2 linked regions of the Sus scrofa genome follow. The protein of the gene in region 1 purifies or fractionates together with the protein of each later gene. This does not show direct contact. Links are inferred from orthologs where the notes say so. Each region holds a gene or a part of one and is shown in the gene's direction. Other genes may lie near its edges. The genes, in order: EIF5 and EIF3G.

What was found.
Region 2: the proteins of EIF5 (region 1) and EIF3G purify together in Homo sapiens (affinity purification with western blotting; 3 studies listed by BioGRID and IntAct, with this or other methods). This does not show direct contact. The link is inferred for Sus scrofa from reciprocal best matches to the Homo sapiens genes EIF5 and EIF3G.

The regions. Positions count from the first base shown.
Region 1 is NW_018084979.1:1,906,656-1,910,468, forward strand, and holds part of EIF5 (eukaryotic translation initiation factor 5), read left to right. Parts: intron 1-118; coding exon 119-277; intron 278-595; coding exon 596-757; intron 758-1,432; coding exon 1,433-1,597; intron 1,598-1,944; coding exon 1,945-2,079; intron 2,080-2,979; coding exon 2,980-3,069; 3' UTR 3,070-3,813.
Region 2 is NC_010444.4:68,967,680-68,971,996, reverse strand, and holds the start of EIF3G (eukaryotic translation initiation factor 3 subunit G), read left to right. Parts: upstream 1-1,348; 5' UTR 1,349-1,441; coding exon 1,442-1,461; intron 1,462-1,601; coding exon 1,602-1,648; intron 1,649-2,191; coding exon 2,192-2,275; intron 2,276-2,383; coding exon 2,384-2,472; intron 2,473-2,632; coding exon 2,633-2,692; intron 2,693-3,685; coding exon 3,686-3,790; intron 3,791-3,889; coding exon 3,890-4,079; intron 4,080-4,317. UniProt on the Homo sapiens protein: RNA-binding component of the eukaryotic translation initiation factor 3 (eIF-3) complex, which is required for several steps in the initiation of protein synthesis.

The DNA.
Region 1 (3,813 bases):
TAACCCACTGAGCGAGGCCAGGGATCTAACCTGTGTCCTCATGGATGCTAGTAAGGTTCATTTCCCCTGAGCCACCGTGGGAACTCTGGCCAAGCATTTTTGTCCGTCGTATAAACAGGAAGAAGAGGAGGACGATGACTGGGGGGAGGATACAACAGAGGAAGCTCAAAGGCGCAGAATGGATGAAATCAGTGACCATGCAAAAGTTTTAACCCTCAGTGATGATTTGGAAAGAACTGTTGAAGAGCGTGTCAATATCTTGTTTGATTTTGTTAAGGTAAAATACTTGCTTTAAATATTCTGTTGATCAGCATATCTGTTTCTACCCAGTCTTAAACTTTTGTTAGATTTTGCTTAAAGCTGTGTACTTGGCAAATAATTTTTTTAATACTGTTTTCTGAAATGCTCAAACGCAAGTCTATTTTTTTCTGTTTATTTAAATATTTTTGAGGGTAGTTTCAGGCACTGTCCTTAGCAACTGTGTATCATTTACCCATCTTAGAACTGTCTTGAATTAGGGGAGAGTTGGAGCAAGGACTATCTATCTCTAGAGTAAAATGTGCCTCCACCTACTGAATCTTCCTTTTATTTACAGAAAAAGAAAGAAGAGGGTATTATTGACTCTTCTGACAAAGAAATTGTAGCTGAAGCAGAAAGATTGGATGTAAAGGCCATGGGCCCTCTTGTTTTGACTGAAGTTCTTTTTAATGAGAAGATTAGAGAACAAATTAAGAAATACAGGCGCCATTTCTTACGAGTAAGCAACTTACTATACATTCGTAAGTGAGATTTACAGCTATGATCTTGGATACCTTGTTTTCATCTTTTTATTCCATCTGTCATCCTGAAAATGGAAATAATTGACCTGCTGTAGCAGAGTATCTGGAAAACTATTTGTAAATTAGAGATCTGAGAATCATAAGGCCGAGTTCTGGTTGGTGGCCCAATGGATTAAAGATCTAGCATTGCCTACAAGCTGTGGTGTGGGCCGGCAGCTGCATCTCCGATTCGACCCTGCACTTGTAAGCCAAAAGTGCAGCCCTAAAAATTTTATTTTTGTCTTTTTGCCTTTTCTAGGGCCATTCCTGCGGCATACGGAGGTTCCCAGGCCAGGGGTCCAATCGGAGCTGTAGACTATGCCAGAGGTACAGCAACACCAGATCCTAGCTGTGTCTGCAGCCCACACCACAGCTCATAGCAATGCCAGATGCTTAACCCATTGAGTGAGGCCAGGGATCCAACCCGCAACCTCATGGTTCCTAGTCGGATTCGTCAGCCACTGCGCCATGATGGGAACTCCAGTCCTAAAAATTTTTTTGAAATTTTTAATTTAATAAAAATTTTATAAAAGGAATTCTCCTAAGGCAATTTAATACACTTGGATATTGGAATTGTTAAGAAAGCTTGTTAATGCCAGGATATCTATTTGCAGTTTTGCCACAACAACAAAAAAGCTCAACGGTACCTTCTTCATGGTTTGGAGTGTGTGGTAGCAATGCATCAAGCTCAGCTCATCTCCAAAATTCCGCATATCTTGAAGGAGATGTATGACGCAGACCTTTTGGAGGAAGAAGTCATCATTAGCTGGTCGGAAAAGGTGGGGAATATATAAACAAGCTCTTCAAGATGAGAAATACTGGGGGCTTGGGGGGGCTTTATGTTTTTTGAAGTAGTAATATTTAGTGTCTCTATTGAAATGCAGTCTCTTTGCTTGACTGGCGTACTCTGAAGTGTTCCCACCGTCACCATGGCCGCTTTCTAGTAGTAACCAAAGAAAACTTCATGCCTTTTAATACTTAACTTGCTGAATGTGTTTATTCTGTTGAGAGTTAAAGGTTAGGGTTTGGCTCAGTCCTCAGAGAGAGATGAGTATGGGCAATTACATGAATTACTCAAGTTATTTGTAAATTTCTCAAGCTGCAAATTTAATTGAACTTATTCTAGGCTTCTAAGAAATATGTCTCAAAAGAACTTGCCAAAGAGATTCGTGTCAAAGCGGAACCATTTATAAAATGGTTGAAGGAAGCAGAGGAAGAATCTTCTGGTGGTGAAGATGATGATGAAGATGAGAATATCGAGGTGAACACCAAAGAAATTATTAAATACGGTGCTGGTGATGGGTGTTTGGGAATTATAAAATGCCAATATTTGGCAATTCCAAATTAAAACTTTTAAATGCAATAATTAGTTTATAGAGGAATTACGTTATTAGAAAAAGTGGGAGTTCCCATCGTGGCTAAGTGGTTAACGAATCCAACTGGTATCCATGAGGACGGGGGTTTGATACCTAGCCTTGCTCAGTGGGTTAAGGAATTGTCATTGCTGTGAGCTGTGGTGTAGGCCAGCAGCTGTAACTGATTAACCCCCTAGTTTGGAGACATCCTATGTTCCCAAACTAGGGGGTGTGGCCATAAAAAGACAATTTATATGGCAATTCTATATACAATCTCCCAGATACTGTATATGATTCCAATTAAATAAAATATTGTCTGAGTTCCCTAAAGGGAGGTTGTTTTCTTTCGGTGTAAGTTGAGTGTAGTGGTAATGTCTACAAAAACGAAGATAACTCTTAGGCTGCCGAGAGGTTAACTTAGTTTGGAATAACAAAAATTTTCTTGGGCATTCCCGTTGTGGTTCAGCAGTAGCAAACTTGATTGAATCCCGGAGGACATGGGTTCGATCCCTGGCCTCACTTTAAGCATTTGGCTGGCGTTGCTGTGAGCTGTGGTGTAGGTCATAGGTGTGGCTGGGATCCTGCAGTGCTGGTGACTGCTGTAGGCCAGCAGCTATAACTGAATCAACCCCTAGCCTGGGAACTTCCATATGCCACACATGCGGCCTTAAAAGAGACAAAAGGAAAAAAAAATTTGTTGCAGAATAATGTCTCTAGGTAGTTTTCCTTTGTTGACCATTGATCTATTTTTGTAGGTAGATTTATTGGGATAGTTTATAAGTAAAAAAAAATTTTTGTTTTATCAGGTGGTGTATTCGAAGACTGCCAGCGTACCGAAAGTTGAAGCTGTGAAGTCTGACAACAAGGATGATGACATTGATATTGATGCCATTTAAAGGGGTGGGTGTAGCCCAGCTTAACTGTGTAATGCTGAGAATCTTTTTGCATCATCAGGCAGAAGTGCAACATGTATGTGCAAAAGCTAAAATGGCTTAACATCATGCTACACTTTCTACTAAAAATGTATTGCTGTGAGTGGTCTGTAATTAAACCCAACAAGACATCTAGGGAGTCCATACACATCAGTGAGCAGGTGTAGTTTGCTTATTTATAGCATGTTTCTTTTTGAAAAATTAGTGGTGGACACATTTGGATCACATTTATACAGTTATAAAAATAAAGATTTGATTTTGGTCATTCTTCAGATTTGGGGCTCGAATGACTTAAGTTGAAATGGCTCCTCTTAAAAATGTTGCACCATCATTTAACTTGGTAAGATTATTGGAGCCTGTTAGTATTGTTGGGTGCTGAGACTATAGAGAGATCTTCAGCAGAATGTGAACGTAAACTTATAATTATCTTACTCAGCCATTAAGAAATAGTACTTTGAAGTCTTATCTTTAGTCCTTCATGTTGGCGTGTGGTAATGTCCATTCCTCCCGTGCCAAGCTGGACTGGTTACCAGATGACAATGAAACACTTTACGAAGAAGTCGAAATGACCTGAGTGTCCTATAAATAATTTTAAGAGCAGGTTTTGAAACTTGAATTATTTTTTGGGTTTTTTTGTTGTTGTTGTTTTTTTTTTTTAGTTCTTCTATACTTGCCCCAAATTGTAGTCTTTGAGGTCATGTGCATTGC
Region 2 (4,317 bases), on another chromosome or scaffold:
ACAAGGAAGACTAGCTTTGGTTTCTTCAGCTGTAAAATGGAAATAATTTTCTCTCCACAGTTCTCGCAGAATTCAATAACTGAGCTTTATTGCTATTAATAACTTTTTTTTGTCTTTTTAGGGTCGCATCCACCACCATGCAACATACGGAGATTTTAGGGCCTAACCCACACCCGTGGCAAATGGAGTTTCCCAGGCTAGGGACTGAATCATGGCTGTAGCTGCTGGCCTACGCCACAGCCACAGTAACACAGGATCTGAGCCTCGTCTGTGACCTACACCACAGCTCAGAGCAACGCTGCATCCTTAACCCACTGATCAAGGCCAGGGATCAAACCTGCATCCTCATGGATTCTAGTCAGATTCATTTCCACTGAGCCATGATGGGAACTCCTGTTATTAATAACTTTAAATTTTTTAAAAGGTAAATGAATTAGAAAACTATATATAGAACTACCATATGACCCAGCAATCCAACTCTTGGGCACATATCCAGAGAAAACTGTCCTTGAAAAAGATACATGCGCCCATATGTTCATTGCAGCACTATTTGCAATAGCCAAGACTTGGAAACAACCTAGATGTCCATCGACAGATATGGATTAAGAAGATGTGGTATATATACACAATGGAATACTACTCGGCCATAAAAAAGAACAAAATAATGCCATTTGCAGCAACATGGATGGAACTAGAGACTCTCATACCAAGTGAAATAAGTCAGAAAGAGAAAGACACATACTCTACAATATCCCTTGTATCTGGAATCTAATATATGGCACAAATGAAAGTTTCCACAGAAAAGAAAATCATGGACATGGAGAACAGACTGGGGTTACCAAGGGGGAGGGGGAGGGAGTGGAATGTACTGGGAACTTGGAGTTAATAGATGCAATCTATTGCCTTTGGAATGGATAAGCAATGAGATTCTGCTGTACAGCACTGGGAACTATATCTAGTCACTTATGATGGAGCATGATAATGTGAGAAAAAAGAATGTATACATGTATGTGTGACTGGGTCACCTCGTTGTACAGTAGAAAATTGACATAACACTATAAACCAGCTATAATGGAAAAAATAAAAATCATTAATTAAAAAAAGAAGATAAATGAGTTCTTGCTGTGGTGTTGCTGGTTAAGGACCTGGACTTGCTACAGCTGTGACATTGGTCACAGCAGCGGCTGGGATTTGATACCTGACCGGGGAAACTTCCATACGCCACCCGCGGGGCCAAAAAAAAATGGTTAGAACTGCGCCTCTACTCAACTACCTAGTACCAGAGCCCAGCCTCTAATAAGCCAGCGCCTCTACCTCTGTCCACAGGGCGGCACTGTGGGCGCAGCGGCCGGGCTGCTCTAGGCGGCAGAACCGGAAGTCTCGTTCTCCCCACCTTCCGGTCTTTGGCCCAGGCTTGGGCTGCGTGGGGAAGGTTTTAGCTATGCCTACCGGAGACTTTGAGTGAGTATGAGGTCGTGGAGGGGGGCTTGGGAGGCAGATTGGGGGTCCTAGGGCGTATTATGGGGCTCGGGTGCCCCGAGGCCGTGGGATCCGGGCCTCGTCTCACCCAGCCTTCCCCCGCGGCAAACTTGTCCCCGCAGTTCGAAGCCCAGTTGGGCCGACCAGGTGGAGGAGGAGGGAGAGGACGGTGAGTTTGCCCTGTTGCCCAGGATCACCGCAGCCAGCCCCCAGCCCGTCACTGCCGCCTGCTCCAACCCCACCACCCCGACCCTGGCGCCGTTGTCTGACCCAGAATCTCCCTTCACGGCCAGCCCCTGCCCCGCGCCATCCTCATCAGGCCAGCCTGTATCTCCCATTACAGTTGTTCACCGGCCAGTCCCTCTTCCTCCCATGCCACCGTCAAAGTCCTTGGTACCAGCCTAGCTGCTCCCCTGCTCCGGGGAGGAAGTTGTCACAGCCTCTCTCCTGTCTTTGTACTAGCACGGGGATGCCTTTGGCCCGCCCCTGCCTTCATGCCTGGGATCCTCTATGCCGGGCATTGCTGGAAGTCACTACAGTCAGCTCCATGTCCCTGCACGACTCTCCCAGGACACTTCCTGGCTAGTCCCCTACCCTTGGTCCCACCTTTCTTAGCTCCCGGGAGGGGCATCATCCCAAAGGTCCCTCCATTTCAGCTTGGGAGCTCCCCCACCCCCCAGCTGACCCCAGCTCCCCACACTCCCTCTCACAGACAAATGTGTCACCAGCGAGCTCCTCAAGGGAATCCCTCTGGCCACCGGGGATACCAGCCCGGAGCCTGAACTACTACCGGGAGGTGAGTGACAACCTCCCCGCCATCCCTGGGTTGCCTCTTCCCCTGCAGAGTTCCTGCCTGGTCCCCAGTACCCAGGGCTCAGTTCCTCTGTCTCTCCCCCTCTCCCAGCTCCACTGCCACCTCCCAAGGAGGTCATCAATGGAAACATCAAGACAGTGACCGAGTACAAGATAGATGAGGACGGCAAGAAATTCAAGGTGAAGGTTGGGGGAGGAGGTAGATGCCCTTTGCTTGGGGGCTCTTGGACTAGGAGAAAGTGGTGTGTGCTGGGTGGGTTGATGAGGAAGATACCCTGGCCCAGGCCCTCGGAACCTTAAGGAGCAGGAAGCTCAAATTTCTCCCCTCTCCTACCCACAGATTGTCCGCACCTTCAGAATTGAGACTCGGAAGGCCTCAAAGGCTGTGGCAAGGAGGAAGGTAAGACCCTCCTCATCCTGTCTTGGGGCCTCCCCCAGGGCTGACTCAGAGAAAATAAGAATCCTTTTCCCCAGTGCCTGTATTTATTTGGCTATGCCCGGGGCATATGGAAGTTCCCGGTTTACGGGTTGAATCAGAGCTGCAGCTGCCAGCTTACACCACAGCTACAGCGACTCGTGATCGTAGCCACACCTGTGACCTAACCCACAGCTCAGGGCGATGCCGTGTCCTTAACCCACTGCGCAAGGCTGGGAATCGAAGCCATGGATACTGCTGAGCCATAATGGGAACTCCTTAACTGTACCAATTTTGTTGGAGCGGAACTGAGGCCTAAGGGTGTTTGCACTCTGTCGGGGTCCTGAAAAGCCCAGCATGTGCAGGAGTAGGGGGGGTTGTCCGCCAGCAGAAACAAAGCCAAGTCCTCCCCTGAGATGGTCGTAGCAGAAAAAGTCATGGCAGTAAATACATTTGGCACAATTACCTGTGCGCTTTCTCTGCGTTAGACCCAAGCTCTTTGCAGGAAGCGTTTTCCCATTCAGTTCCCCTGGAATTCCAGGGAGGTGGGGGTCCATTGGGGTCCCTTTTCCTGGAGGAGGCAGCTAGGGTTCAGATTGCTTAGCTAGCTCTGGGCCCCTGGAAGTCTGGGTGACCCCTACGCACCCTTGAGCATCACTCCCTGGTAGGAGCTGGTCCGCTACCTGCACCACCCCAGCAGGAGTTGTTGGCTGTGGAGGGGATTGTCCCTGAGCCTCAGTCCTCTAATCTGGAGCATGGAGCCTAGAGCTGCCCTTGCCTCTGGAACTGGTGTGAAGCTAGGGCCTGGCATGCGCTCAGGGAACAGGAACTGTCTTTGTCACTGCTCTGAGGGTCATTTGGGGGAGGCTGGAGAATGGGGTTCAAGGCCCTGGAGCAGACATTGTAAGTCTAGGGAGCCAGCAGAGGGGTCCTGCTTGGCCTTGCTCTGACTTGTCTCTCATCCCACCCTGAGCTCAGAACTGGAAGAAGTTTGGGAACTCAGAGTTCGACCCACCAGGGCCCAATGTGGCCACCACCACGGTCAGTGATGATGTGTCCATGACATTCATCACCAGCAAAGAGGTAAGTAGGCCAGGAGGCTGGGGCCAGTGGCCAGGGTGGTGGCGGCAGTGGCGGGGGGTGCGGCAGTCCCGTCTGAGCTGCCTCTGCCTGCCCTGCCAGGATCTGAACTGCCAGGAAGAGGAGGACCCAATGAACAAGCTCAAGGGCCAGAAGATCGTGTCCTGCCGAATCTGCAAGGGCGACCACTGGACCACCCGCTGCCCCTACAAGGACACACTGGGGCCCATGCAGAAGGAGCTGGCCGAGCAGCTGGGCCTGTCTACTGGCGAGAAGGAGAAGCTGCCTGGAGGTGCTGGGGCCTGGGGACTCGGGGGACAGGGATTGTGTTCACCTCCAGGAGAGTTGTAGGTTGTCACCTGCTGTCTGAACAGGGCCACCGCTGTTGGCAGTTGTCATCTCCCACACAACAGCAAGGCTGCAGCCACAGTCCATGCTTGTGTGTGTGTATGAGAGAGACTGGCGGTGGCTGCTGTGACTGCTGGCGATGTCCCCTGTCCTCTCCTCATTAGGGGCTGTGAGAGCGGCTC